Linked DNA regions of Tamandua tetradactyla. The protein of the gene in region 1 interacts with the protein of each later gene in a biochemical or structural test. Links are inferred from orthologs where the notes say so. Each region holds a gene or a part of one and is shown in the gene's direction. Other genes may lie near its edges.

What was found. The genes of interacting proteins can lie anywhere in the genome.
Region 2: the proteins of ERBB2 (region 1) and ABL2 form a complex in vitro, tested with the Homo sapiens proteins (3 studies listed by BioGRID and IntAct, with this or other methods). The link is inferred for Tamandua tetradactyla from reciprocal best matches to the Homo sapiens genes ERBB2 and ABL2.
Region 3: the proteins of ERBB2 (region 1) and RASA1 form a complex in vitro, tested with the Homo sapiens proteins (2 studies listed by BioGRID and IntAct, with this or other methods). The link is inferred for Tamandua tetradactyla from reciprocal best matches to the Homo sapiens genes ERBB2 and RASA1.

What each region holds. Positions count from the first base shown.
Region 1 is NC_135332.1:27,582,742-27,593,030, reverse strand, and holds the start of ERBB2 (receptor tyrosine-protein kinase erbB-2), read left to right. Parts: upstream 1-3,860; 5' UTR 3,861-4,136; coding exon 4,137-4,209; intron 4,210-10,289. UniProt on the Homo sapiens protein: Protein tyrosine kinase that is part of several cell surface receptor complexes, but that apparently needs a coreceptor for ligand binding. Essential component of a neuregulin-receptor complex, although neuregulins do not interact with it alone.
Region 2 is NC_135330.1:33,423,067-33,433,355, reverse strand, and holds the start of ABL2 (tyrosine-protein kinase ABL2), read left to right. Parts: upstream 1-5,536; 5' UTR 5,537-9,256; coding exon 9,257-9,452; intron 9,453-10,289. UniProt on the Homo sapiens protein: Non-receptor tyrosine-protein kinase that plays an ABL1-overlapping role in key processes linked to cell growth and survival such as cytoskeleton remodeling in response to extracellular stimuli, cell motility and adhesion and receptor endocytosis.
Region 3 is NC_135347.1:44,036,859-44,047,147, reverse strand, and holds the start of RASA1 (ras GTPase-activating protein 1), read left to right. Parts: upstream 1-5,431; 5' UTR 5,432-5,519; coding exon 5,520-6,040; intron 6,041-10,289. UniProt on the Homo sapiens protein: Inhibitory regulator of the Ras-cyclic AMP pathway. Stimulates the GTPase of normal but not oncogenic Ras p21; this stimulation may be further increased in the presence of NCK1.

The sequences.
Region 1 (10,289 bases):
TCTCTGGTGAGCTTGGCCTCTACCCACTCGCTAACCCTGGGCCTGGGGAGCAGTCTCCCGTGTGGTTAGGCTACAAGTGAATTGATCCGTCTTCTTATCAGAAGCTTCCAAGTTACTTTCCTGTGGCCCCAGGAAGGCCTTGTGCCTGCTTTTCTCAGGGATTCCTTCCATTGAATTCATACCAACACTTCCTCTACAACCCGTGCCCCAGACTGGAGGCCCTGCCTGGTAGGCTCTGGCTTGAGGCCTGGACCTCGGACTGTGGACTTTCCCCTCCCCTTTTCTGTTTGTTTTCAATCCTCTGACCCTTGGCTGGCTAGTGAGGTAGGCAGTGGGGAGGAGACTCCAGGGTGTACACAGACACACACAGGCGTACACACACAAACACATACACACACACACAGCCTCACATGCCCCCAAGTTTCAGTGGCTGGTCAATGATTGATTGGCATTTCACAGGTTGTTGGTTTCAGACCCTCAGAGGTCACCTCTATAAGTCAGGGTCTCGCGTTGGGCCTCTTCAGTGCTGGTGGCCACTTCCACAGCCCACAGGCCCAGTAACTGTTGTCCAAAGATCTTCTCAGGCAAATCTCATGCATCTGCCCCTCGGGCCCTTGGCTTGTTACCCTCTGACCTGCAGTCAGGCCCTTCCTTGGTACCCAGCCTCCCTCACTCTAGGCCCCTCTCAAACTCCTCCAACAACCGGCCCTATCCCGCTCCCTGATGTTTCCCCCACTGTCTTTGTCCTTCAGGCATCCTCTTTCCATGGCTCTCCTGCCAGGCCCCGCTGGGAGGGGCAGCAGAGGAGAGAATCAAATCAGCAGCGCCCACCCCTGCCCCCCTTCCTCTCCTCTTGTCAAACACCAGACAAGGTTTTTTCCCCTTCCTTTCTGGCTCTGAATGGGCTCATTCTCTCTAGTAGATTCGGCCCCTCTCGAGCCTCCTCCCCACAGCGTGAGTTCTGACCCCAGCTCCTCCCCCCCACCCCCTCTCTGCCCGGTCTCTGGTTGGCTCCGCCCCTCTGGGCAGCCTTGTATGCCAGCCAGGGGTTTGTTCTTAAGATCTCCAATGCAGAGAGGGGGGCTTGCTGAGGCAGGGCAGGGGTAGAGGGAGGGACTCTTTGTAGAAGGAGGGATTTACCCTGAGAAATCTCCTCTGGCTCCCCCACCCCAGGGGGGTTCATGGTACCCCTTGATTCAGAGCTCTCGAAACTAATGGATGAAGCCAAAGCTTTCAGAAGCCTCAGGTTCTGCCTCTGCTGTGTGGTCTTAGACAAGTTCCTTTACCTCTCAGGATCTCCGGGTTCCTTCCCTGTAAAATGGGGAATGATAACAGCCACCCCTGGTGCCTCGAGGAGCCAGTGTGAGAAGGAAGGTGGATGTAGGACAGAGGATGGCACAGAGAAGGATCCAATAAAGGATGGTACAACAGCAGCTTTCCTGGCTGCACAAGCTTTTCCTAACACAAGGGCTGGGGAAAAGCATGTTCCAGGGGAAAGGGACACCTCAAACCCTGACCCTATGGTAATATCCTGATGGTCTCCCACCAGCTGCACGTGCGATCACCCACGTACCAGCCCTCCCTCGAATATTTCACCACCAAGTAACTCTTGGAACCAGGTCAACACCTTTTCTCCCTGAGGGGCTGAGATGCTGTGGGTTTGAGGCAAGTTAACTAAATCCTATACCCTCTTCCTTAGGGAAGAGGGGCTGGTTTTGCTGGATGTTCAACTTTTTCCTAGTTAACCCTAAAACAGCCCTGGGCAAATTACTTAACTCTAATTCTAATTCTAACACCTAGAGAAAACAGGAATCTTGATGCCCGTCCTGGCGGGCTATTGTGTCCCCAGGAACAATGGTGTTTCCAAACATTTGTGATTATAATCCAAGGAATAAATTCATTTTACATCACGAACTGGAAACTACATACAAAACCACACTTACCCTTACTATGTTCTTACTCCACGGGATGTGCGCCGATCTTTTCTATTACATTCTATTTCTTAAAACAAACAAACAAACAAAAGTCTAGTCTTAATCATTTAAATTGGTTTCGGGGCCCTCTAATGATGAATCTGACCTGCGGTTTGAACAGTACTGGTTAGAGCTGGGGCGGGGGCGGATTTACCATAGGGTTAAGAAAGGTTACAGTTTCAGGCCCCTTATCTGCATATATGTGCATAATTTTGTACTTAATTATTTTCTTTTTTTAAAAATTAATTTTTAAAAATAAATTATAGGTTTACAGAAAAATCATGCAGAAAATATACACCTTTCCTCACACATACAACTTTCCCTATTACTAATAATTTGTATAACTGTGGTATCTTTGTTAAATTGATGACACAATATTCTCATAATTACACTATTAACTATACTCTATGGTCCATTAGCGTTCACTGTTTGTGTTGTACAGTCCTAGGTTTTTTTAAAATTTTTGTTCTAGTACCATATATACAACCTAAAATTTCCCCCTTTGCCCACATTCAAATATATAATTTAGTGGTGTTAATTACATTCACAATGTTGTGCTACCGTCATTGTACTTAAATTTGTATTCATAACTTTGTACTTCTTTTCTTAAAGAGCGTCTCCCACATCATATAAGCTTCAGGCCCCACAAAACCCGGTTCTGCCCCAGTAGAAGGAAATCCAGTCGATTTATTGAGCAGCTACTATGTGCCGAGTCCTGTGCTAAGTGCTTCAGGAGCGTTATTTCATTTACCCCCTAGCACAGTAGGCCTGATGCCATTACAGACTCTATTTTACAGATGAGCAAACTCAGAAGACTCGGTCACTTGCCCAAAGTCATAAAGCTAACAAACAGGTGGTAGAGTCCAGAGATTTGAACCCAGGTCATTCTGATCCCAGAGCCCCTGCTGCTCTCAGCCTCCCACAGGTGTTCGGCACAAGTAAGCACTAAGAAATTCTAGTGTCCTTCATTCTCCAGTCCCCAGCAGGTGTCCTGATCCCCCTCTTGGTCAGCACAGATGTTGCTCCTGGCTACGGTATTCCAAGAAGACTTGCCAGATTTAGCAAATAAAATAAGGAAGCCCAGTTAAATTTGAATTTCAGATAAACAACGAATAGTTTGTTATTATACGTGTGTCCCACGCACTACTTTGTGGGAATTTCCAACAAAAACATGCCTCCTTCCCTTTCAACCCCCTCTCCTCCCCCATCACTCGGGGTCTTAAGAACAGGGTCAGGGGTCCAGGTGGAATGCAGGGTGGGGAGCTGCAATGGAACAGGGTAACAAAAGGCAGGGGACAGAGCAGAAACCTTGAATGAATTGGGGACTGGGAGCCCCATAAAGAAACAAGAGGTATATCCTTTGAAGGATGCGGCTGAAGTCCCCTCTAATTTGAACTCTTCTCCTCAAATCTGTAGATTCCCTTACAACCAGCTTTTTAGACTAGGGAAGATAGCTAAAAGAGTCCAGAGGCTATGCCAGGCAGTCCTGGAAGCCAGAAGTTAAACACAAGGCATCCCCTTCCTTAAGTACCAATTTCACCTGAGGATATGGTGGGAAAACCATTATTTGATATTAGGACAAATAGGCATGTGATGGAGTAGGATGCAAACACGCCAGGAATGTTTAAGATAAACCTGCAACTTAGAAGAGAGGGAAGGGATGGCAGCCGGGCCTTAAAGAATTGGCCCCAGAATCCGGGGAGAGGCGGACGAGCCCCTCTCCTCTGCTTTTAGGGGTTCTTCGTGGAAATGGTTGGGATCGGCTGTAGGAAACCCAGGCGTCCGGGCGCTGGGAGGGGCCCCCGGCAGGCCTGCGCGGAGAGAGGGAGAAAGTGAAGCTGGGAGTTGCCACTCCCAGAGACTTGCTGGAATGCAGTTGGGGGGGGGGGGGGGCGAGCTGCGAGCGCGCTCGCTCCCAATCACTGGAGGAGGAGGAGGTGGAGGAGGACGGGCTGCCTTGAGGAAGTGCAAGAATGAAGTTGTGGAGCTGAGATTTCCCTCGACCGTGGCCAGAGAGACGAGAAGAAGCCCCCCGAGGCCTCCGCACGCCCCTCCTCCGGCTGCCGGGTTCCGCGCGGAGCGCCCGGCCCCCTTCTCTCGCCTGCCCGGCGCCCCCCAGCCTGGTCCAGCCGGAGCCATGGGGCCGGAGCCGCTGTGAGCACCATGGAGCTGGCGGCCTGGTGCCGCTGGGGGCTCCTCCTCGCCCTGCTGCCCCCCAGAGCCGCGGGCACCCAAGGTGGGTCTGGCGTGGGGAGGGGATGGAGCAGCGACAGAAGCCCCTGCAGCCTGCGTCCCCCCTGAGAGCTCCCCGGACGCGCGGGGGCAGGGGACACCCGAGCTGTCCCGACCTGGAGTAGTGGGCACTCGGGGCGCTCGGGGTGGCCGGGCCTTGGGACAGAGGGAGGGGGCGAAGTAGTTGGGGCAGGGGGGCGATCGCACCCACGCAGCCGTAGTCGAGGGACCGACTGGCCCTTCCCAGACTCCAAACTGCTCTGCGAACTTGTCAGCAAAGTCCTTTGGAATTGTTCAGAAAGCTTCTCCCCCAAGGGTATACTGCGTGGTGTGCGTGGTGTGTGTGTGTGTGTGTGTGTGTGTGTGTGTTCCCCTTCTTGAACCCCTTGAAGCCTTCGCAGTTTTTCCAGTTGGCAGCCTCCGCCTCCCGACTGGTCTGGGCTGGATTCCTTTGGGGGTCCCCTCCGCCCTGTCCCTGCCCAGCCCTTCCCCCCTCCTCCCCTCCTCCCCTCCAGCAGCTAGAATTTGGTGACTCCAGCTCCAAGCAGGGTCCGGGTGTAGAGGGGGGAGGCGGGGAGAGCAACCTGTCCAGCCCAGGGGGAGGAGGGGGGGCAGGAGGCTGCAGAGTTGCCTTATGCTGGGGTCTGGAGTAGGGGGAGGGAGAGGCGGGTCGTTTTGAACAAGTTTCTTTAGGGCCAACTGACTGGGGGCCTGGGTGTTTTGTGACTTTGGGAGCGTGTGTGTGTTGGCGGTGGTGGGTCTGGGACCTGAAGTGGGAGAGTTCCGAGGGAGGGATTCCGGGGCTCTTGTGGGGGAGGCTGGGCTGTCTGGCAGCCTTTTCTTTCATGCCCTGTGTGGGGAAGGGTGATGTGGGGGGCGAGGTGTGTTCTGCGAGGAGTATCTGCCCACCTGTAGGTGATGCTGAGAAACGCAGACGTGTCCCGGTGGTACACCCTATGTCAGGTCCTGGTATGGCGTCCTGTGCGCATTCCCTCCTTTCACCCTCAGCCACCCAGTGGGAGAAGTCCTGTTTCCATTGTCCTGGTGAAGACCTGGACCGTAAGGAGGCTCAGTAACAGCCGGGAAGTGGTGGGGCCCACCCCTGACCCCAGCCAGCCTGACCCCCAGCCTCATTCTCAAAATCACTATATTCAATCAAAGGGGAAATCAATCCCCCTTGAATGGTGGGAGCTGCTACCCGCATCACCGGGCTGGAGGGAAGACAAAATGAGAGTGTTCCGACAGTAGTGGGTGGTCTCCCCGGGTCAGGGAGTCTGGTGTGGGCCGCGTGTTGCCTGAGGGCCCCTCTGTCTGGGCATTGCTGTGTTGTCTGGAGAGTTCCTGTGGGTGTCCGAAGCTGCCCGCTTTTGCCAGGGTGTTCCTGAGTTGTGTGGACTGAGTGTTTGTATGTCTCTGCTCTGTGTTGCCAAACAGCAGTCTCCCTGCCCCCTTGGGGACTGGGCTGAACTCTGCCCTCTCAAGGAATTCCCTCAAGGTGCTGGGCTAGATCGGTTGTAAACAGCGGGAGGTGGCCTCCTGCCTTGTCTCTGAGGAAGGAGGCGCCTCTTTCCCGGTGAGCCCGTCCTCTTTCTCCCTGAACCCAGGCGGACGTCTTCACCCCTGACCTTCTGAGGAGAAGGGTGAGGCCAGGCTTGGCGATCGGGCCGAGTTGCTATCCTCCTTGCCTTGGCCTGGGAGTTGAGCAGGTGGGGAGCGGCGGGGTTGCTGCAGAGCGATCTGAGGAGCTGTCTCCTGGGGTCTCCTCGCGTCTCCCTCACCCCTCAGCTTGCACTGTGGGGTGCAGAGAGAGACTCTGGGTGCGTTGTATAGGGATTGGCTAAAATGGCAGCCCACCACCCAGCTGCCTCCAGCACCCCCATTATTGTCCATGGCTGAAGGAAGGGGCAGGAACATGGGGTGGAGGGGAGACTTGGGGAAGGCTCAGAGGGTCAGGATTTTGCTGAGATCCTTTCTGCAAGGTTTTATAAAATTTCAGCAAACACATCCTTTTTATCTTGCACAGCTCATATGTTATTATTTCCAGAATCGTTCTCCCAGCAGCCTCCTTCCTTCTTTTTACTATACTTAGGGAAAGTGACCTCATTTTAATATTCAAGAGAAAACAATAGAAAGATAGGATCAAATGTCAAAAGAAAACATCTATCCCATTCCAATGTCAAATAGGAAGCACTTTTTATTTTCTCTTGGTTTGGGATTACCCATGCTTCTGCCTTAACTTTAAAAAATGTCCTGAGTGTTTCCTACGTGTCACCTTCTTACCCACAGACAGTTTCATTTCACCTCTGCAAAGGTCCTGCGAAGTATGTGCACAGATTGGAAAACTGAAGTTCAGGGAAATGAAGCGGTTTATTCAAGCCAGCTAATCAGTACCGTCCAGGGCATGTTTGGCTCCAGAGAGGAGGTCTCAGCAGTAGATCAGAGACTTATTCCATTCCCCGGGAATGGGTTGAGCAAAGCCCATTCAGGTGGATGACCTCCCATCGGTTTATCTAGGCTATAGAAAGTGGGGCTGTCTTCCTCCACCCCATCCTGAGCTGGGGCCCTGAGCTCCCTTCCCGGCTGCGGGGTCCTCTCCCTCCCAGGCCAGCCCATGCTTGCCTTCCTTTTGATTTTGAGCCCTCCCATCATGGCAGGGGACTGAGGGCCGAGACCATTGGGTCATGCAGGACTGTGGGCGGAGGGAGACAGCTGGGGCGGAAGTATGAGGGACCAGTGCGGAGCTGGGCTGAGTGGCTGGGTAGGGCCCAGAGTGGTTGTGTCTGACTGTCTGACTTGGGGGTGGGGGGTGGTGGAATGATCTGGAAAAAGATCCCCCTTCCCACCTTCAGCCCGTGGGAAGTCGAAGTCACTCTGGAATGATAGTTCCATCTCTTGCTGGCCACCTGTCCTCCCCACCCCTGGGAAGAGGGCCGAGGCAGGGTGAGGGGTGTGGGTTCCTGGGGGAGTGTGAGAATTATTAGAGCTAAGGTTTGTGTTGACAAAGCCTTGTTGTGTTTATAGACTGCTTTTTCTGTTCATTTTCTCATTTAACTTCTCTGAGGAGACCAAGAGTTGTTTTTATAACCTTCCTCACTGCCAAGTTCAGGTCAGTGAATATTCATCTTTTGAATATCTATAGGGTAGCAGGCACCACAGAGCAGGAAGATGCATCTGATTTAGCCCCTGCCCCGAGGGCTGAGATGAGGAATCCCAGGCTCCTGAGGTCTAGGGACCTGCCCAAAGTCACTGTTGAGTGGCCCAGCTAGGGTTCCACTCCAAAGAGCTTGATATTAGGCCCTATATATCCAGCATATGTGGCTACAGTATCTACAGCAAGCTCTGGCCTCGGGGCTTATGAGTCTTGGGTGGGGGTGAGAGGGTGCATGTAAAAGTTTACCTGGTGATGTTCATAGAAACCAAAGGAAGTGCTGGCTTCCATGCTGGTGAGCAAGAGAAGCAGCTGGGGCTGAAAGCTGGTGGGGAGGAGAGGACCTGCCTGAGGACCCCTGGGGCTGGGACCACCAAAGGTCAGCAGAAGGGACATGAGGGGTGGATGCCATGACCTCCACTGGTCCCGTCTTACTTGAACACCGTTGACTGCTCATTCATTCAGCAGCCACTTATCCAGCTCTCTGTGTGCCCTGTCCTGCCTCTGGCCTGGTCCTGCCTCACACGTCTTTGCCATGGAGGGTTGGAGGTTGGGGCTTCTGGGGGGCAGGTGTCCTGGAGACAAAGAATGTGACTGTGTGAAATTAGGACCTCTAGCACTCAAGAAAATAAATGGGAGAGGGGGCAGTGGCAGGTAGTATGGGATCTGTGGTGAGGACTGGTGATGGGGAAATTAGTGTGGAGCGGGGTGGGGGGTAAGAGGAAGATGGGGAGGTTGGAAAGGCCTTCTTACCTTCATGCCAGGTGGAGGTGTTAGCCAGCAAGCTTACAGCTCCCTGAGAGTAGGTCTCAAGGTACAATTTTACCACCTTTTCTGCAAAAGAATCTTAATCAGACTTGAATCGACCATAAATCAGGTAAACAAACTCCAGTGGGGCCGGGCTCTCACCTTTTCTGATCCTCCTGCCCAGCCATGCCTAGCCCAGCCTCCATGCCCTGCTCAGAGTCTGTAATGTTTATCCGTGGCACTGGGCGAGTGAGTGTGTATTTATGTTTGTGTGGCATGTGGGGTGTATTTGTGCATGTGCAGTTAGGCCTGATGGAAGGAATGTGGGATCTAAAGTCAGACAGACCCAAGTTCAAGCTTTGTGTCTTTGGGAGAATCTAACTCCTGTCACCCTCAGTTTCCTTCTTTGCAAAATAGAGATGGAATTCCCAGCCCTTGGAGGTTGTTATGGGATCCACCCAGGTTGCCTGCTGGGTACACAGTAGGTGCCCAGTTAATGCAGCTGCTCCTAGTTCCCATTGTTGTTGTTTTCCTATTGCCTGGTTGCTACAGCTGGTGTCCCTTGGAGGTGGCAGAGGGCCACAGGGGGTGGAGACAGTCCCTGCCCCAGACCTGCTGGTCCCTGTCCCCCAAGCTCGGGCCAGGGCCTGGGGTCTGGGCCTCGAGACAGCTGTGCCTGTAAAGCAGCTGAAACTGCCGAGGCCGGGGAAGGTCCTGGCAGCAGGACGTTATTTTGGGCCTGGCCTGCCATCCCAGGCTCCTGTTTCTTTTGGGAGTTTTGGGGGGAGGGGCTCAGGAAGGAGGGGGATGCCATGGAGAGGGGGTGAGGCATGGAGAAGGGAGGTCTGACAGTCTCTCTTCAGCCTGGGAGATGAATCCTTGAGTTCTATTTCTGGGCCCTCCCCTTCCTTCTTTTTTGCTTCCTTCCCTCTCTGCCCAGAGGGGTGGAAATAGAAACCCCTCTGGATGTTATGGGGAAGATTACCAGCTTATGGCCACCAGGCCTGGCAGAGACCTGGGGCCTTGTCCCACCAGCCTTTCTCTGAAGGGAGAGAGCCATCACATTAGGATGTCATTGGACTCAAGTTGCTGGGAAAGTAAGGGCCCTGGTGTCAGACCTCAAAGCCAGCCACTGTGCTGTCCCCTCAAATAGACACAGAGTCCACGGGAGGTGAGCAGTGACTGATGGGAATTCCAGGAAGCTCAGGCACCTGTGGGCCTGTCTATCTGAGGGTGCCCTCCACCTCCCTTAAACCCCTCCTGCACACCCTCCTGGGCAAGACATGCCAGGTGATTCATCTCACCAGAGCAGAAAAACGGGTTCAACTGGGCATGGGCTCATCACCCCCCTTCTGGCAGGCAGGATGCCAGCTGCCTCCCTGCGCGCACCGTGCACCCCGGGGGTGGTTTACCCCCTCTAGGATCCCTAGGCTTCGGGGATTCTTCTGGTCCCAGGGACACCAGGCTCGGGGGCGGGTGGGCCAGTGATGGCAGTTCATCCTGCCATCCCTTGACTGAGGATTGGCACCAGGATAGGTACCCAGGGCTGATGTAGTGCCCTTTGTGGCAAGAGTTTCGTGGCATGGGCTCTGCCAGCTGGCTCTGGAGTCTTGCCCTGAGGAGTGGTATGGGGGAGGGTGCCAGCATCTGAAGCAGGCATCATGCTGGCCCTGGATCTGCAGTCTGGGTCTGGATGCCCATAGCTGGGGTATGATGCTCCTTTGCTCCTTCGCCTTGGGGAATTCCAGAAGTCCCTGCAGTGACCGGGTCCTTGGTTGCCCCCATTTCTGCAGCCATGACTCCAGCTGACCGTCCTCCCCCACTTTCTGGGTGGCATTGGGGGAGTGGGTATCTCTTGCCAGGAGACTGGCATGTGGGTGGTGTTGGAATGGAATGGGGAGAATACCCTGAGTTTGTTTGCTTGGGAGACTGTCAGAGGGTATCCAGAAGATTCATGATTCATCCTTTCTCATGGGGGATTTTTTACCCCTCGGCCCTGAGCTAGGGCCTATGGGACAAAGGGAGGCTTTCTTTGCCAGCCAACACCCTGCATTGGGCGGGATTGCAAGCTACATTGGGCTGGCACAGGAGGCGTGCTCTGGATGCTCCCTGGATGGGCCCGACCATCCAACGCCCAAGGTTTCTTCTGTTAACCCTGCAGGTACAAGGGACACAAGAGAAGAGATCCT
Region 2 (10,289 bases), on another chromosome or scaffold:
TTCTGAAATATAAGGTGATTCACCCAGAGGATTTATTCCATGAAGTAGAAAATGTAGAATCTACATTTTTCCACTCAATTGTATCAGATCTGTGCTTAAAAGAAAGCTGAAAATAGTGATATCTGTTGTTGACAGTATAAATAATTGTCATGGTTAGCATCTACAAAAAAAAAAACAAAGATGATGCTATTTTCAGTTTCGTTTTGTGATAGATTTTATTAGTTTTTCTGTAAGCACCACAAATAGCAACTTTCAGTTTCCTAGGTAGGGTAAGCTTGGTAAGAAGATAAGTGAGAAAAGTGCAGATAAAGATGTTAAAACAAAAACAAAATGTTTTTAATGTGAATTTACTTAGATAAATCCTTTCAAACCAATACATAATTTTATGTACCCTAGAAAAGCCATGTTTTAATACTAATCAGTGTTGTGAGAGCAGCTGTTTCGTCTAATCATTATTCAGCACTATAGGCTGGAAATTTGATTAGGTTATTTCCATGGAGATGTGAATCAATTGTGGGTATTAAACTTAATTAGATGGAGATGTATCTCTACCCATTCTATTTGGGTCTTGATTAGTTTGCTGGAATCCTGTAAGAAGAGGAGACATTTTGGAGAGAGTTCCTTTTTGAGAGCAGGGAGAGTGCTGCAGATCCCTCACAGAAGGACAAGAGAACCACAGAGTTCACCAGCCAGCAACCTTTGGAGATGAAGAATGAAAACCCAAGAAGCCTGGAGAGAAAGCTAGCAGATGTTCGCCATGTGCCCTTCCCGCTGAGCGTGAAAAACACTGAACATCATTGGCCTTCTTGAACCAAGGTATCTTTCCCTGGATGCCTTAATTGGATATTTCTATAAAATTGTTTTAATTTGGACAATTTCACAGCCTTAGAACTGTGTAAACTGTTAAACTGTAAATTTATTAAATTCCCCTTTTTAAAAGCCGTTTAAAAGCCAGAAAACTGGCAGCTAGCAAACTAGAGCAAATTATTTACCTAATATTTAAGAACACATTCACTGATTTATAGATGTCACCTCAGACTACAAAAATAACATCAGTGCAAGAGTTTAAGATGAATGAACATCATCTGTTGCAGGGAAAAAAGTCGCCCTCTTTTTTCTTCTTTAATTTTTTTTATTGTATAGTATAACATATCTGCAAAGCAAAGAAATAAAAAAGCAATAGTTTTCGAAGCGCTCTTCACCAAGTAGTTACAGGACAGATCACAGAGTTTGTCATGGTCTACCATACGATCCTCTTAGTTTTTTCCTTCTGGCTGCTACAGAATATAGGAGGTTAGAAGGTTTAAATATTTTTTAATCATCACAAATTGACTTTTATTCCTTTTTTAAATGCATAATAACATGTATAAAAAAGCTATAAATTTCAAAGCACAGGACAGTTAGCTGCAGAACATATCTCAGAGTTTAACATGGGTTACAGTTCTACAATTTTAGGTTTTTACTTCTAGCTACTCTAAAATATTGGAGACTAAAAGAGATATCAATTTAATGATTCAATATTCATATTCATTTGTTAAATCCTGTCTTCTCTGTATAACTCCACCATCACCTTTGATCTTTCCATCCCTCTTTTTAGGGGTGTTTGGGCTATGCGATTTAAAATTTTTCATATTGGAATGGTCTGTCACTAAATGGAGTAAGGAGGTGTAACTATCTGATGTTCTAGAGAGGCTGGGCTAGGTTTTAGGACTTATCCGGATCAAGGACCTTTCTGGAGGTTGTAGGTTTCTGGAAAGTTATCCTAGTGCCTGGAACCCTTGGAATCTTATATATTGCCCTAGATGTTCTTTAGGATTGGCTGGAATGGTCCTGGTTGGGGGTTGGCAGGTTATGATAGGTAGCAAGGTCTACCTGAAGCTTGCGTAAGAGCAACCTCCAAAGTAACCTCTCGACACTATTTGAACTCTCTCTGCCACTGATACTTTATTAATTATACTTCTTCTTCCCCTTTTGGTCAGGATGTAATTGTTGATCCCATGGAGCCAGGTCTGGATTCATCCCTGGGAGTCCTCTTCCATGCCACCAGGGAGACTTTTGCCCCTGGATGTCATGTCCCACTGTAGTGGGGAGGGCAATGATTTCACTTGCAGAGTTGGGCTTAGAGAGAGAGAGGCCACATCTGAGCAACAAAAGAGGTCCTCCAGAAGTAACTCTTAGTCATGCCTATAGGTAGGCTAAGCTTCTCTGCTACCTGCATGACCTTCACAAGAGTAAGCCTCATGATCAAGGGCTTGGCCTATTGATTTGGGTGTCCCTGAAGTTTGACACAGTATCAGGGGATTCCCTGATGATAAAGTTTATTAGTTCCATAGTCTTTGTCCCATCCCTAAAGGGACTTTGCCAATACAAACGTTACCCTCTTTTAAAATATTCTGTTAACACTGTAGGCTTCTTGGCTGAACTGTCCTTCTATCCAGTATTAGAATAAGGCCTGGATTGAGCCTAGTGCTTACTGCTTGCTTACTTACTTCTCTTTTCCCTTTGTTTGTCAGTTGTCTCCTGCAACAAATGTCTCTTTAGGATATTTGAACCTGCCTGGATATGTTCTTCTCTTTGCTTCTGATGTGTGGCTAACTGCTATCTCTGAGGACGACAGTATTATTGTAGTACTTGGTATATTGTAGATAATATAATATGTGTTTGTTGGATGAATGAATGATTGATGACCAAGGGAGAAGGCTTTTATCATATTCCATTAGAGGCTGTGTGGCCTCTACTGGTTACTATGTAATTCAAAGGAAGTCATCTTTTTTATAAATAGATGTTTTTGTTAATTCATAATAACTTAAATTTCTTTGCAGATGCACTTCCCCTCCATTCTGATTAATCCATAAACCAATTACCCTGTCACCAGATGATTGAAAATTGACTCTACTAATGGTTACACCAAAGACTTTAGATGGAACTCCAAATATAGTCTCATTGTCCTTGAGCTTATGATTCAACTGGTGCACTTGGCTCCAAAGCCCTGTTTAGTGCCTGTACAGCTCTTTGCTACCCTCCTCCCCCCTGCCCCCCCCAAAATAAAACAAAACAAAACTTTTCTCCTCCGGGGAGCAAAAGGTAGGTAAAAAATTATGTGAAAAGTATGAAGATTTGTGGGAGTCTACATTAAGTACCCAAGGTGGAAAAAAATTTAAATTGGAGCTTTTTATTCATTATTCACCACGTATTTGAATGCTTTCTATTTGTCTGGCCTTGCCATCATGGAGTTTGCATTCTAGTGGGAGAAGACACATTAAGCAAATAAATATATATCAGGTAGAGAAAAACAAAGCAGAGAAAAAAGAACAGAGAGTACAGTGGGAGGAGATTTGCTATTTATATATGCCTGTCAGCCCTGCAGGAACAAAGGAACTGTATCAGTCTGGGTTTAATTAGGAGTCAGAAACAACTCAGTGATTTAAAAATAATTACTAAGCCATGATAAAAGAAGAATCAAAAGCTATAAGAGAACTCTATATGATGCTGCTCTAAGGCTGGGGTAGAGTACCCAAGCTAAGACAAAGTTGAAAAAGGGATCCCTCCCTGGGGATTTCAGACCTTATTGGAGAAGGTGTCATTGCAGCCCACTTGATGGGTGAGAAGTTGAATGTTTGCTTGGTTCAGATATTCTGGTAAACAGTCATTTGGCAGGTAAAAAGTAATCCTCTGAGGTGCAGGTGAGCCATAGCTGGTTGCCAGGCACACAGTGTGCGGTGGACATGGAAATACCAGTATGGGTGGGGGGCCCAGAATGCATGGTGTTCATCATGGGGAGGGCTGTGGTATCAGGAGGGAAGCTGAAAACAAACTCCAGTAGATGCTGGTAAGGAGGAAAAAGTTGGGAAGCTGGACAGACACAAGGCATGGACTACAGGATGTTCATGTCAGAATTCAGAATCAGGAGGGTTATGAGAGAATAATTTATGGGAGTAGGCGAATTTGGGTCCTTATGTAGACAGGAAGCCTGGATCATGGGATGTCCACATTGAGTGAGGCCAGTGACAAGGTTGCCAAGGAAACCACCATGTCTTCTGAGTACATGGCTAGGGCAGCTTAACCTGAGGCTAGATAGCCTCATCCACACTGCTGACCAATGCTGCAGCTGCCAGAAACAGTAGGAAAGCTCCTTCCTTCTCCATTGTCCGTCTAGACTCCTCTAACAGAGAGAGCTTAACATTATGCTCACTGTAAAGGAATAATGCTTAAAGGAATTTCACCCATTATCACAGAACATGTAATAAAGAAGCAATAAAGTGATAAATGACACAGGAGCTAAGTTATGTGGAAATCTGCAGGAAGAGCATTCCAGGCAAAGGTAAAAATAAATGTAATGTCCCTGAAGCAAGGTTTCCAGTGACTAGCCAGGAGAGAGTGTTGCCAGAGATGATTTCAGAAAGGGATTGAATGGAAGGCCTAGTAGAAAATAGTAAAATCTGAATTTTATTCTGAGCAAAATGGGAAACCAATGGAGGGTTTTGAGCAGAGTAATATAATTTAGGATTTAAGAGTCTCTCTAGTCGCTATGTTGAAAATAGACTGAAGGAGGCCAGAGCCAAAAGAGGGAGACCAATTAAGGGTATATTGCAGTAATGTAGGCGAAAGTGGCTTAGACTGTGAAAGTAGCTGTGGAAATGGTATGCAGTAGTTGAAGTCAAGATAAATTTTGAAGGTAGATCCTTCAGGATTTGCTGATGGATTAAATGTAGGTATGAATGTAAGAGAGGACTGAAAGATGAGTGCGAGGTTTTTGGCCAAGTAACTGCAAGAATGGAATTGCCATTTACTGAGGGGGAATAGACTTTGGGGAACAGGACGTCAGTACTTCAAGTTTTGAATATATGAAACTTTGATTGAATAGAAAAGAAGAGATGTTGATGAGGCAATTGCATATGAGTTTGCAGTTCAGGAAAGATTTGGAGGGAACTATGGGATTAAGGGAGGTTTTTTGTCTATAATTTCTTTCTTTGAAGTTAATAAAACTATTTTTATAACAGTTCTAGGTTTATAGAAAATTGAGCAGTTAGTATAGAGAGTTCCCATGTAATCCTGTCTCTTGCACACAATTTCTCCATTAACATTTTCTATTAGTATGGTACATTTGTTGCAATTGAACCAATGTTGATACCCCTATTAACTAAAGTCCATAGTTTATGTTAGGGTTCACTCTTTGTGTAGTACAGTTCTATGGGTTTTGACAAATGTGTAATGTTATGTATAGAATTTACAATATCAATAAGAATAGTTTCACTGCCCTAGAAGTGGCCTGTGTTCTACATATTCATCCCTTCCTCCTTCTTCCGCACCCCAAAGCCCTGGCAGCCACTGATCTTTTTACTTTTTCTATATTTTTGCCTTTTCCAGAATGTCATAACATTGGAATCAAATAGTATGTAGCCTTTTCAGACTGCCTTCTTTCACGAAGCAATGTAAGTTTAAGATTCCTATGTCTTTTTTGTGACTTGATAGCTCATTTCTTTTTTTTTTTTTTTTTTTTTCCTGGGTTTATGGTCTGGAAATCGAACCTGGGTCTCCCACATGAAAGGTGAGCATTCTATCACTGAACCACCTGTGCACCCTCATTTTTTTATTGCTAATAGTATCCCATTGTATGGATGTATCACAATGTATCCATTCACCTTTTTAAAAATTTTTTATTAATAAAACCAATCAACATACAATATGAACATTCTTTTCTTTCATCACATAGTTGTATATTCATCATCATGATCATTTTTTAGAACATTTGCATCAATTTAGAAAAATAAAACAGAAAAATTCATATGTACCTACCCCTTAACCCCCCCTTTCATTGATCACTAGCATTTCAATCTACTAAATTTATTTTAACATTTGTTCCCCCTATTATTTATTTTTAATCTATACATTTTACTCGTCTGTCGATGAGGTAGATAAAAGGAACACCAGACACAAGGTTTTCACAATCACACAATCACATTGCAAAATCTGTGTCATTATACAATCATCTTCAAGAAACATGGTCACTGGAGCACAGCTCTACATTTTCAGGTAGTTCACTCCAGCTTCTCCACTACACCTTAACTAAAAAGGTGATATCTGTATAATGCGTAAGAATAATCTGCAGGATAACCTCTTGACTGTTTGCAATTTCTCAGCCATTGACACTTTGCTTTGTCTCATTTTGCCGTTCCCCCTGTTGGTCGAGAAGGTTTTCTCAATCCCTTGGTGCTGAGTTCCAGCTCATTCTAGGATTTCTGTCCCACGTTGCCAGAAAGGTCCACACCCCTGCGAGTCATGTCTCATGTAGAGAGGGGGAGGGCAGTGAGTTTGCTTGTCATGTTGGCTGAGAGAGAGAGGCCACATCTGAGCAACAGAAGAGTTTCTTTCGGGGGTGACTCTTAGGCCTAATTTTAAGTAGGTTTAGCCTATCCTTTGCAGGGTTAAGTTTCATATGAACAAACTCCAAGATTGGGGGCTCAGCCTATTGCTTTGGTTGTCCCCACTGCTTGTGAGAATATCAAGAATTCTCCATTTGGAGAAGTTGAATTTTCCCCCTTTATCACATGTGCTTGATTCATATGGACATAAGTTTTCAATTCACTTGAGGCAATTTTTAAGGGTGGCTCACTGTATTATTATATGGTAAGACTATATTTAGCTTTGTAAGAAACTGTCAAACTGTCTTGTGAATTGGCTGTACTATTTGGCATCCCCACCAGCAGTGAATCAGAGGTCCTGTTGCCTCACAGCCATATCAGTATTTGGTATTGTTATTTTAATTTGCAGTTCTCCAATGACATATGATGTTAAGTATCTTTTCATATGCTTATTTGCTACCTGTGAATCTTTTTTGGTGAGATGTCTGTTTAGATCATTTTGCCCATTTTTAATTGGGTTGTTTATTTTCTTGTTGAGTTTTAAGGGTTCTTTGTATATTTTGGATATTGTAATTTCTTTAAACTTTTGAGACTATTTTGATTTATTTGCTGTTGCAAGAAGTGTTAGCGGGAAATCCCTTTACTCTGCTTTCCCCACATTTTAACGCAACTCTTATAAAACTACAGTACAGTATCACAACCAAGTTATTGACATTGTTAGTCAAAACACAGAACATTTCCATCACCACAATGATCCCTCCTGTTGCCCTAGACATGACCCCCTTCTTCTTCTGCCCCACCCACCAGCTTTTTAACCCCTGGCAATCACTAGTCTGGTTTCTATTTCTATAATTTTATCATTTCAAGAATGTTATATAGATGGAATCATATGGCTTTTAATTTGGGGAGATTGGCTATTTTCACTCAGTATACTCCATTAAAGTTTGATTCAGGTTGTTGCTTGTATCGATAGTTTATTCTCTTTTTGTTGCTGAGTAGAATTCCATGGTTTAGGTATGCAGTTTGTTGAACATTTCACCAGCTGAAGGACATCTGGGTCGTTTCCACTTTTTGGTTATTACAAATAAAGCTGATAGAAACATTCCCTTTACATTTTTGTAATCCAGGGAAGGAGAAATTCAATATGTTGTTTGAAATTCTGACTTACTACTTTAGTCATTTAATTTTTGCTTTCCTCAGGTGGATGACAGTCCTAGTCTTTTTTTTTTTTTTTTTTGGAATGGGCAGGCACCAGGAATTGAACCTGGGTCTCTGGCATGGCAGGCGAAGAACTCTGCCTGCTGAGCCACCGTGGCCTGCCCGGTAGCAGTCTTTTAAAGTTAATTTTGTTGAAAGTATTAGCTTTGGAAAAAAAAAAAGCCTAATGTATTATGAGTCTCTAGAGAAACAGAACCAACAGAAGATACCTGTGAATACAAGATTTATAAAATATCTCATGCCACCACAGAAATGCAAGAGTCCAAAAGGGGCAGACAGTGAGACTGGCAACTCCATTGAAGGTCTTGACGAACTCTATAGGAGAAGTTGGCTGGCTGGCTTTGAAGAAGCAGTGAAAATTCTCTTTTCTCCTTTAAAAGTCTTCAACTGATTGAATCAAATCCAACTGTTTGGGTTGTTTCATTTGTGGGAGGCACACCGTTAGTTGATCGTGGGTGTAATCAGTCACAAATGCAATCAACTAACTGATGATTAAATAAACCAGCCTTCTGGTTTATCAACCAGACATGGAATATTCTTGCAATAACGATTAGGCTAGTACTTGCCTGACCAGACAATTGGGCTCCATCAGCTGGTTAAGTTGACACCAGAAGTTAACCATCAACTAATTATATCAAATTCATTCTTCCCTAGTCAAGTTATATTACAATTTTATGCTTCTGTTTTATTGAGTACTATTTCAGTCTTGACTTTCTGAAATTTACCCTGTTATCTTGATTAGCCTAGGATCTAGAACAATGCCTGGTACTGTAAGATGTTTAATAAATATTTATTGAATCAATCTGGTACATAGTAGATGTGTAATATTTACTGAATCAGTGGATATTCTCAGCTAAACAGTCACAAACACTTCTTGGCATTATATTTCTAGGTCATAACATTAATGACATCTACTATTTGTAAATTTTAATTCTTATAAGGTATTCTCATATTCAGGTTCTTCGACTTTATTTAACTTTGTTCCTATATATTAACAAAGATCAGACATTTACTTTTTAAATTATTAATACTGAAAAGTAGTTAACACTATCATGCCATGTTTTTAACCTTTATTAAGCTGTAGTGCCAAAATTTTAGCAAAGGCTATCATGTCCGGGCTTCTGTGGTTGTGAATCATATCTTAACTCTTTCTTTGGTTTTGGATTTGTGGTTTCTTGAGCTAATATAATTGACATAAAAAGTGAGTGTTGCTCGGCATTTCCTTTCTTTTAAAAGTATATTCGTTGTTTTATAGTAATGGTTTTTCTCCAAGAAAACTTTTCTCAGCAGTCTCACCTAATCATCTGCTTAGGAATGAATACCCAACTGTATGAACTAATCCCAGATTGTTTTATTATTAAACTATTTATTACTCATGTTTTGCTTTTTGCTTTATTTTGAATATTCCCATAGTTCTTAAAATAACTCTATTGTGGGCTGGCCACGGTGGCTTAGCAGGCAGGAATGCTTGCCTGTGATGCCAGAGGACCCGGGTTCAATTCCAGGAGCCTGCCCATGTAAAAAATAAATAAATAACTCTATTGTGACTCGATCTTTTGCTATTACTAGACATTTCCCTTTAGGTCATTCATTCTCCACCCACTTTGGGAGATGCAATACTTTCCCCTTGATTGGTTTCTTCTGGCTGCTGAAATGCATGAGTAACTGTCACATGCATGTGGTATTGCTTGTCAGAGGGTGGAATTCTAAGACTTCCTCATTACATAGGACACTTGAACTTTTTACTTCTGGGAAGAGGTATGATCCTTGGGACAGTCCTGCTTCCACATAATGGTTATGACAGAGATGAGGATATAACTCTTTGCTGTCTCTGCAGTGAGGCCTCAGAATCTGCTTTACCCAACTTCACAGGTATCGTTCAGAGGTGATTGTTTGGGGGGAAGATAAGTAACCACAGAAATCAAGTGTGAATGGAGATTTTTTAAAATTAATCTTTACTATTGTTATCTTCATTGTTGATCAGTGACGGTTCATGTGCTTTTTTCTTGGTATTTGTAGTATGATCTCAATGAATACTTATTGAATGAAAGAATGTATAATATACAGTATTTTAATGCATTAAGATGTGTATAGCTTCCCCCTATGTAGGACATGACTCCCCGGGATAAGCCGGGACCCAGCATCAAGGGATTGAGAAAGCCTTCTTGACAAAAAGGGGGAAGAGAGAAATGAGACAAAATAAAGTTTCAGTGGCTGAGAGATTTCAAACAGAGTTGAGAGATTATCCTGGAGGTTATTCTTACACATTATATACATAACGCTTTTTAGTTTATGGTGTGTTGGCGTGGCTTGGAGGGAAGTACCTGAACTGTTGAACTGTGTTCGAGTAGCTTTGATTATGAAAAAAGACTGTATAAACGTACAGCTTTTACAGTGTGACTATGTGATTGTGAAAACCCTGTATCTGATGCTTCTTTTATCCAGGGTCTGTACAGATGAATAAAAAATAAATAAGGATAACAAATAAATAAAAGGGGGAGATAAAGGCTAAAAATTGGGTAGATTGAAATACTATGGGTCAATGAGAGGTAGAGTAAGGGATATGGGATGTATGAGTACTTTTTTTTTTTTTTTCTGAAGTGATGTAAACATTCTAAAAATTATTATGGTGAAGAAAACACAACTAAGTGATGATATTGTGAGCCATTGAATATGCGGTATAACTGGACTGTGTGTGTATATATTTCT
Region 3 (10,289 bases), on another chromosome or scaffold:
TCTTCTTCTGGGACTCCCATAATGCATATATTGGTACACTGGATGGTGTCCCAGAGGTCTCTTAGGCTATTTTCACTTTTTATAATTGTTTTTTTCTTTCTGTTCCTCAGTCTGACTCATTTCAATTGTCTTGTTTTTGAGTTCACTGACTCTTTCTTCTGCCAGCTCCAAACTACTGTTGAAACAGTAGATTTTTCTCTCTTTATTGAGATTTTCATATTGTTCATCATTTGCTTTTCCTGATATAATTTATTTCTTTCTCTGTATTTTCCTTCACCTCTCTGAACATATTGAAGACCAAATCTTTGTCCATTATGTCTACAGTGTGCTCTTCTTTGATGTTTTCTGGATTTTTGCTCTTTTCTTTTGGATGTGCAATTATTCCTGTTTATTTTTCTGGTAACCGTTTGTTGAAAACTGCATATTTTAATACTCTAAAATGTTATCTTTTGTATTTATTCCATGAGATTTCCATTCCGTGAGTTGGTAACCAGGTGGTGATATGACAAAAATTTTCTTGAATGTCAGTCCTCCCATCAGGAAGGTTTGCCAAAAGCAAATACAAAGTGTAGGGTCATCCCTGCCTATTCTGGCCCTGTGTCTTGTCTTGGGCTTGTGCTTGCTGGTGGCCTTAGGAGATCCCATGTTTATAGGACTTCGAATGCTCCCTATACTTCTCAGGAGACAGATGTCCCTCTCCTGGATGTCCCACTCTTAGCCTTAAGCAGTTAAGCCCTTGTCCCAGGTCATCTATCTTAATTGTTTCGTACACTCCTATCCTTGTTTCAAGTTTCTTTTGCCTAAAGGGCAAATCCTGGGAGGAGGGGCACGCTGTAGAGGAGTTTCCCAAGTCAGTCTTTCCCAGACAGAAGTTCAGGAACATACAAAGGGAATGCCTGCCAGCTCCAAACTGCCATTTAGAGAGTTGAGGGAGGGGCAGGGAAGGGCACCAGGAGCTTCTCCCATGGCTCCCCAAAGCTGTGCTCTTTACTTGGCCTGCAGATGCAGACCTTCAACTGTCCTCCACAGCTTTGAGGAAGTATACTGCCTTAAAATTCCCTCCACTGCCTTTGTTCAGGGCACACTGGAACAACGGTCACCCTTAGAACTGGGCCCCCAGAGATCCGAAGTAGTTAATAAAATGTTGTGATAAACCATTGGCCTGTGCACACCCTAGATTTTGGCGAAGTAGATTTTTATGTCCCTTTCTGGCACCAGAAAGTTATGCAGGGACTGCACCCCACTGTTGCCTGCTATGAGAGTTGGGGATGGATGCTGGTAACTGCCATGGAGAACATTTTTCAGGTATCTGAGTATAATTCAGCAGCCTCTTCCTCCTGCTCTTCGGTGGATACAGTACAGTGCTTTACTGGACTGCTGAGTTTCAGAATAGCTGATTCAGACAGCTGCTGCCTGTTTAACAGTTTTTCTCATGGATGGACTGATTCCTGGAGCTTAATATTCTGCCATCATCCTACAGTCCTCCTTTTGAGAACTTTAAGGTCAACAAATGCAATGGGAATATTACAAATTAGGAGTAAAAGCTTCTTTTCAAAATTATTGCATCAGTGAAACATTTTTACACTATTTAGATAAAATTGGAAGCCTATTTATACATCTGAGTATGCATTAGGGCATGGAACGAAATATTATTTCTTGCTCAGTCTTCCAGTCAAATCTACTTATGTATTTGCTCTAAATCCCTCGAGGCTGTATGAAACAATGTTATATCACTAACTCAGAATTACCTTTTCTCATACTTAGGGTATAAAAACTGCAAAATATTTTGTAGTATATCATGTTCATATTTGAGTTGCCAATAAATAAAGAATGAGCCAGCTTCATTTTCTAAAAAATTAAATTTTCAATGTCTTTTCACCCACAAGTTTTTGCCCAGAATTTTTGATTACTTATTCTTCATCAAAAACCATATTTCAGTATCTACAGTAACTTTTCCAAAATCGCAGCTATTACAGATTATTTTATTAAACTTAAAAAGCTATTTTGAATTTTTCCCCGTATTCTTTTGAATATTGTTTTCAGTACCTCCTGTTTAATACTCTCTGTGCACTTACTTAACAGACTGTTTACTTCCTTTCGTTTACTGACATTGTATAAGAGCACACCTAGCACCCCAATTCCTACAGAATCCCTGCAATGTCTATTAAAATATTAAAATATAAAAAATATTTTAATAGATTTTTCATAGTATTTAAAAAAAATGTCTGCAGTTTTGGACTCATGAAACACATAAAGTATATCTATCAGAAAGTTTAGGGGGTTGAGAGGAAAGGGAGCGATAAGTAGGAATTAGGGGAGAAATCAGTAGGAAAAAAGAGAACATAAGCATATAAATCAGAGAAAGGCAGAAGGTCAAGGTGAGGAGAAAAAGGAAAAAAGTAACAAAGATAAAGGAGGCAGGAATATCACACTCTTTCAAAAGAAATTAGAAGTCATTAAAGGTAGAAGACTCATTTGATATTAAGGAAGTATATAACAATAGTAAAACCAAGGCCTAAATCTGTCCAATAATAAGAATATATAAAATATTTGGAAAATACCTCGTCAAAAAATGCGTGGGATGAAAAGGACAGTGCCAACTATAAAGCTAAACGTAAACTAGGTAAGATATGGGTACTAGGTTATTTACAAAAAGACTTAGAACATCCTTGCTAGTAGTTGAGAAATTGATTTCCAAAGATGTGAGCTGATCAAATAATCTAGTATTTGTTATGTGAATGGAGATCTTTTCAAAGCAGTGTGTTGGGGCTGCCTAACACTGGCTTTAACTGTTTAGAAAACAGTTTAAGCTAGTATATAATTGGTGTTAGATTGTATAAAACACAGGCTTTAATTGCTAACGAATTTTCAAAAAGCAGAAGCAATTCTACAAATTAGGGGAGTGAGCCTGACCTGGGCTCTCAGACATAATACACATGGTGTAGGATCACTTAGAGATGATCACTTTTAATTAAGAGAAAGTGTTGGAGGAGAAGGATGCTAAGACACTGTAGCTCTTCAAGAAAAGGTTACATGGAAACTTGCTGCGGATTCATACATTAGGACTTAGGCGGATTCATACATTAGGACTTAGGTGAAATATATATTTCCCTGATCTCTTCTAACTTTGAGGCTCTAAGTCTAAATAAAAGGAAGACTATTCTCAGAAAGGCCACCAGACATAGTCATTTATTATTTCCTTCAGCGTTATGGAACTACTACGTTCTGGTCTTTTTTGTTCCTAACCTCCTTTTTTAGAATAGTTAGCAACCCAATACCCAACTCTCTTACCCACCCTCTAATGAACGTCATTGAATCTGCTTCCTCCTGTATTCTTTCTTTCAAAACGTTTTTAGGTATTGCATACCTCATTCATGACTAGCATACTATACTCAAGTGCAGTAGTTCTTAAACTTTTAAGTTTAAAAATCACTTGGAGGATTCCTTAAAACACAGACTCCAAGGCTCTATCAACCACAGTTTCTGATTCAGAGGGCCTGGGGTGGGGACCTAGAATTTGCATTTCTAAGTTCCTTGGAAATAATTGATCAGAAGCGACCCCTTGATAACTACAGCTCTGGGGTCTAGTCCCTCCTCACTCTCTCAGCTGGTACACTGGAGAAAAAGTAAGCATAATGGCACTCAGGACTATTATAATCAAGAGCTTGCTTACCAATGACTTGGTAAACAGGCTTACACAAATTCTAAAATCAAAGAAAAGTCTTGAGTATGCCTTGTCATTTAAGTAGCTTTTTCCCTTTTTCTCTGGCTTCTATATTGGTTTGATCATCCTTAGCAGAGAAATATCGATTTCAAAGGCCAATATTCAATGATATTCAGTGTGGTAGCCCTCCTGGGGGGAATTTAAAAGACAAGAAAAATACATGAATCCCAAACAGCAAACTACCTCCACATATATGAAGCAAGTTTATTGTTAACTTTTAAAGTTATATATAACTTGCACTCTGGGATCTACTTGACATTTGCCTTGTGGAAGGATCCCAGTCATTCATGTATGCACTGCAGGACATGCCCTGCAGTCTTCTGCAGGCGGAACACGGACACAAGCGCATTGATTAGCGGAGGCTGCGGCCCCTCTCCTGTCCCACCCCTCCTCAGTCCCTAACAGACCTGCAGCAGCACAGGTAAACCCCAGTGTCTGGGTGACACGGTCGGTTAAGAAAACAAAACCTTCACATACACTGGTAGAAGTCGGACTTCACTACCGGTATTTCTACCAAAATTTTCCACCTTCCCCGTTTGGTCCCCTTTATCTTTTTCGCTTTTTCCTGAATTACAGAATTTTTTTTTTTTTTTTTAGTTTGTAATAGTCATATTTTAATTTACATCATTCAACGAAAATAAACTATGGACAGTCCTGCCTCGGCCTTCGCCGCAGCCACCCGCCCGTCCACTGCTGAGCCCCGGCTCCGCTGGCTAAGGCCGCTTGTTTTCTACCGGTCCAGAAGGAAGGAACTGACTCCTCCGCATCTTCCTTTGTCCTTCCCCATTCCTTCCTCTCTACCGCAAGCTCGTCCCTCTCGTCTCTCCGGTTTCCACGGCGTTCACCGGCAGGTGCTCAGGTACCCTCCCCCTGGCCTCCCGCGGTCCCCGGGGACCGCACCGGCCTGCCTTCGCGCCGCCGTCCCGTCCGGCAAGAGGTGCAGCAAGGACAGGACACCCGCCGCCGGGGGACAAGGACAGGCGAAAGCGCCAGGCTGCCCCGCGCCGGGACCGGGGGAAGACAACGAGCCAGGGCGCGCGCCGCACGCTCCCGCCGCTTCCTTCCCTCCCCTCTCCACTCGTCCTTCCCTTCCTCCAGCCCCGGGCTCGCGCGTGCGTACAGACTGGCCTCGCCTCCCTCCGACCCCGCCCTTCCTCCCCCCCGCCGCCCCGCCCCCGCCGCCCCGCCTTCCTTTCTCTCGTTCGGGTTTAGATAACTGTGAGCTCGCGGTGGCGAGCAGCTGCGCCGGTTTCTCCACCACCCCGCCCCCCTCTCTCCGCCTCTCCACACCCCTCCCATCTCCAGCCCCGCGGAGGATGAAGCGGCTGCAGTGGCCCCAGCCCGGGCAGCGGCACCGGCGGTGGCTGCGGTGGGGGTGGCCGGAACTCGGGTGGTGAAGAGGCGGTGGCGGCGGCGGCGGCGGCGGCTCAAGGAGCGGCGGCCGCCCCAGCCGCTTTCCTGTGCTCCCCTTCCTCTTTAGTGCAGTCAGGAAGTTTTTCGCTTCTGTGCATGTGTGTGTGTGCGTGTGTGGGTGTGTGAGGTGAAGGTTTGGGCGGCATTTGTGCAGGCGTTGGATTTTTTGCCCACTTCGCTTCCCGTAACCCGGGCAGCCTCGGAGCCTGGGCTGTGGCCCGAGGAGGGGGCGCGGCGGCGGGCTCCCTCCTTTTGTTGTTGTTTCCTCCGCCTGGGGAGCTGAAGAGGGGACGCGCCTGGGTGGGGTGACTCGGAGCCCGGGCCTGCTGGCCCCCGGGGCTCCCGGGCGGGCAGGGTAGGGCCGAGTAGAGCGGGCTTCAACATGATGGCGGCCGAGGCCGGGAACGAGGAGGGCGGTCCGGTGACCGCCGGGGCAGGAGGAGGCGGCGGGGCTGCGGGCTCCAGCGCCTATCCGGCAGTGTGTCGGGTGAAGATACCCGCGGCCTTGCCGGTAACAGCCGTGCCCTACCCTGGGCTGGCCGAAGCCGGAGTGGCCGGGACTCTGGGTGGTGGAGCTGCTTTGGCATCAGGGTTCCTAGGAGTCGGTTCCGTGGCGGGAGTCCTGGGGGGAGCCGGACTGACAGGGGGAGGTGCTGTTGCTGGCGTGGCTGGTGCTGCTGCTGCTGCCGGACCTGGTGGGGACATGGCTCTCACCAGAGGGATCCCTTCGTTGCCTGCCGAGACCCTCGGGCCAGGAGGAGGATTCCCCCCTCTGCCGCCCCCTCCTCCGTTCCCCTCCCTGGGCGCGGGCCTGGGAACAGTGGACGAAGGTGATTCTCTGGATGGACCAGAATACGAGGAGGAAGAAGTGGCCATCCCCCTGACTGCTCCTCCAACTAACCAGTAAGTCAAAACTGCTGCTCAAGGAACCAGGAAAGCTGGCTCTAAGAAAGAAGTGGGGCATGCAGAGGGAAACCTGTCTTGTTCTTTCAGCTGTTATTTGTTTTGAAAAAAAGTTTTGAAGCTTCAGGTTCCATGTGCGGGGATTTAATTTGATCACTCATCTTCCCTACAGGCACGCTCCCTGGCGTCTTCGTGTGTTTATTGCTCCTCTGGGAAGATGTAAAGTTTTTAAGATGGGAAGCTTTGGAAAATGTGTATTCAGTGAGAACCGGATATGGTTCTACCCCTTCCAAATTCAGGTGGTGGACTGGGATTCAGCTGAGATTGCAGCTACCAAGGCAGTCATTGTCTGTATTAGCCTGCGTATGTGTTCTCTGCTGAAGTTGGATGATTAGTGAGAATACTTGAATTACAAGTATTTAAGTATTGGGTTAAAATCATTTGAAAAATGCATGAGTCAGAATGTTTTGTTTTTGTTGTACTGCAAATCCTAATTTTTGTCTATTGGAAAAATAAAGTCTTTGAACCACTTATGAAAACCTGTGTCAGAGAGAAGCAGGAAAGGAGTTTTGTGAATTACAGGTGTGGTTAAGTGTCCACACTCTAAAAATGTCTGTAACTTGTTCTATTGAATTGGTATTTATTAATATTAGTAATTCTTTAATAGCTGAATAAGTGCAGTGCTGAAGCAAGACAGAATTAATAGTGCTTCCCCTTTAACCCTTTGTTGGTGGTCATTTTAGTATTGTATTTGAAAATTGTTTGACATTCTACTGCAGAGTATATAGGACAAACGACTTTTTAAAAAGTCATTACCCATCTTGTTCTTTTCTTAAATGGACTTAGGTGTGTATTTATAAAAATGGATGTTGATGAGAGGAAAATGTTGACATGGGAAGTGGTGATAGGTAAAACTTGTTTATGGATCCCTGACATTAGTCTTAATTGACATTTAGAATTTTAAAAATTTGGTATCAGAAGAAAAAAGACTTAGTTCAGATGTTGATAATCACTGGACAGTTGAAAGTGTTTTGAATAAGCTTCTTTAAAGGATTTAGAAAGGACTTAAAAACTGATTAGGAAAAGATTCTGTAATAATAATCCATATTTTGACTTAAGGCTACATCTTTTGATGTTTAAGGTACAAAAGTAAAGTTATGCCAGCTATAGTATGGGGATGTTGTATTCCCTTTATATTAATGCAAAGTTCATTTGTCCTGTCATTTTATTCCAATTTATTTATCCTATCTATGTATTACAGACTTTTCTGAGGCTATTAAATTTGTAATTTTATAGCAGTACTTGCAAATTTCCAATTTTTGTTGTAAAAATCAGTCAGTTGAATATTTGAGTGTCCACTAAGTGCTTGGCATGGTAGTTAACAATAAAGTGCAGTTTTTCATACTGAAAGAATCTACAGAATCTAGTCTTATGCTGTTTCACAGCTAAATTGAATTAGGCGTATTTTTGATATTATAGTTCTAAATTTTCAGTAAACGTAAACGTATTTAATAGTAAACATAGAACATGTTTGTGAGAAGTCTGTTGTGTGAGATTTCTATCCTTATATGTGTTCCGGAGTAAAAATGTTAATAGGGCTATATTTATGAGAATTTTTCATGTTCTAAAAAGTATCCCATTTCTACTATGTTTTAAAAATTTGCCACTGAGGAGTACAAATTTCCTTTTTTTCTTTATCTTAGATATCAACTCAGTCACTGGAGGCAATACAGTATAGTGGTTAAGCTTGCAAATTCTGAAGTTAGACAACATTTGGGTTGGAATCCTGACTGCCGCTTAGTAGCTGTGTGATCTTGGAAAGGTCAGTTTCCTCATTTGTAGAATGAGGATAATAGTGGTACCTCCCCTGTAAGGTCATTTTGAAGATTTAATGAGAAACCTGAAAGTATTCAACACAGTGTTTGGCATATAGTAAGTGTTCAGTAAATAATCCCTGCAAATTACAATAGTATAATTTAATCATTATATTGCCTATTAATTCTTTTGTTAAAGGGATTCCCTTATTAATAGCTGTTTTAGAGAAGGTATTTTCTCCATTTTTTTTTGCATGGGCAGGCGCCAGGAATCCAACCCAGGTCTCCGGCATGGCAGGCGAGAATTCTGCCACTGAGCCACTGTTGCCACCACCCTTAGAGAATGTTTTTTGATTTCCAAAAACTTATACTATGTGCTATAAGTTTACCGTGATTACTTATATTAACATTTTTTTTAGCTTAATAAAGGCTTCCAGGAATAGGTTAAGCAATTTCAGTGGTGACGTTCAAGTGTTTTCTATAAGCTCCTATTTTTAAATTGAAGAGGAGAAAAGTCTTAACTTAGTTAAAAATGTCAAATCTTTTGAAAAAATACTGAAGAAATATTTTTAGACTAAATTAATATTTGATTAATAGTGACTAATCACATTAGTTAATGATAGCATCTAGGTATTAAGGAGGTTCAGATCACAGATTTGAGTCCAGAAATGGTTTGTTAGACTAAGGTTCCTTAGTCACAGAGTTTAACTTTGTATCCAGCTGATTTTGTATTGTTGGTCACAAGAGAGTCAAGTGACAGTATGTAGATAGACCAGTGCAAATGTATTAACAGTAGTAGTATTTTGTACCTTGATTTTCTGTTGTGCACTGTGACTCATTAGTTTCATATTTACTACTGAGTATTTTCATTAGTTTAGGGTTGGAAAAGTTTAATTTTAACTATTACATTTATTTGAATATTTTCCTTTTACCAAGTTTTGAGAAAAAAACTTTTAAAAGAGAAATAATTCATCTCATCTTTTTTTTCTGCTATGAAGGGTTCTGTATCTAATACTGCTAATTTCATTTTCATTAGAGAGAAAAGGTTAAATTAAAGGAGTTTGTCACTGGCATTTCCTGTAATTTTGTGGAGCTGCTTCACTCTTTCTTTTTTCCATAGGGGTAAGGTGGTGGTAAAGAAGTATTGTTCTCCCAGTCCACCTTCAGCCATATGTAGAGATTTTTAACAGTGAGGCTACAGTACCATGTGGCTCTTGGGCTTAGCACTGTAGTTATAATGACAAATACACAGATACCTATTACTTGTACTTACATATTTGGAATATTTAATAATTAGTTGCCCAGCATTTAAAAATAGAGTGATTTCACATGTAAGAAGTCTGGATTTCTAGCATCTCTTGAAAGATCACAGGGTGTGGCTATATCTGGTGGGTATTTCTACATGACAGTAGATTACTAGAGCTGAATAGTAGTCTCCCTTTTTAGGTGGGTTCTGAGCTCTCCAGTTGCCATAATCTATTCCAGGCCTGCTTTGCTTCTGATATTGCTTGCCTGGCACCTGGCTTGTTCTTACTCTGAACTAATAAATATCCAGTTTACCGGGTTTACTGTCCTGAAACTTGAAGGAAAAAAAAGTAAGGGAATGTATAAGAATGTAAATAGTACCTTTCTTTTCCTTAAAAATCATCTTGTAGTCTCTGCAAAAATAAAACCGTTCTAAATTAAGTCAAACAGTTGCTGTAATGTTAGGACGCGTAAGGTCAGTTAACTTTGTCACTGACTGCAGTACAACTTTGAGTGAGTCGTTTCTTAATAAAAATGGAGGTGAGAATTACAAATATTAGTTATACACAGAGTAGTTGCTGACGAGGACCCAGATGATTTTTATTGTATTTTTGTGAATAGTAGAACAATGTCGTTAATGCTTCAGTGATAACAACAATGAATAAAATACCTCTTTTTTTTTTTCAATGAATCCCTCTTTTGGGGAGTTTTAGATTTAGAACAAAGTTAAGTAAATCAAGTACTATAAGATAGGTTAGATTAAAATATATGTCATGAGTGAAGTCTGAGCAAAGGGTCCTTGGTTGTGGATGTGTGCCAAAGAATGAGAAATTTGTATTCATTAGGATCACTGAAGTCTTTAAAGAAGAGTGGAATGTATTTTCCCCTCCTGTTTAATTTTTTCTGAACAGGAGGTCATTGTTTCCTATGCCCTTTGCTTAATGACTTTGTCACATGAAGAAGAATTGAGTTAAATGAGTATTAACTTTTGGTTCTTAGTAAAGAGCCTGACCTACTGAACTCTTATCTATGGCCTGGAGTGGGTTGAAGGGATTCATGAAGTTACTCAGGTACAGAGCAGCAGAAGGCTAAAATTACTGCACTGGTAGTACTTTCTTCTACTATTTTGCCTTCTGGATTTTATATGTCATATCTAATTTTCCTTCTTTTTACCTTTACTCATAGTCTTC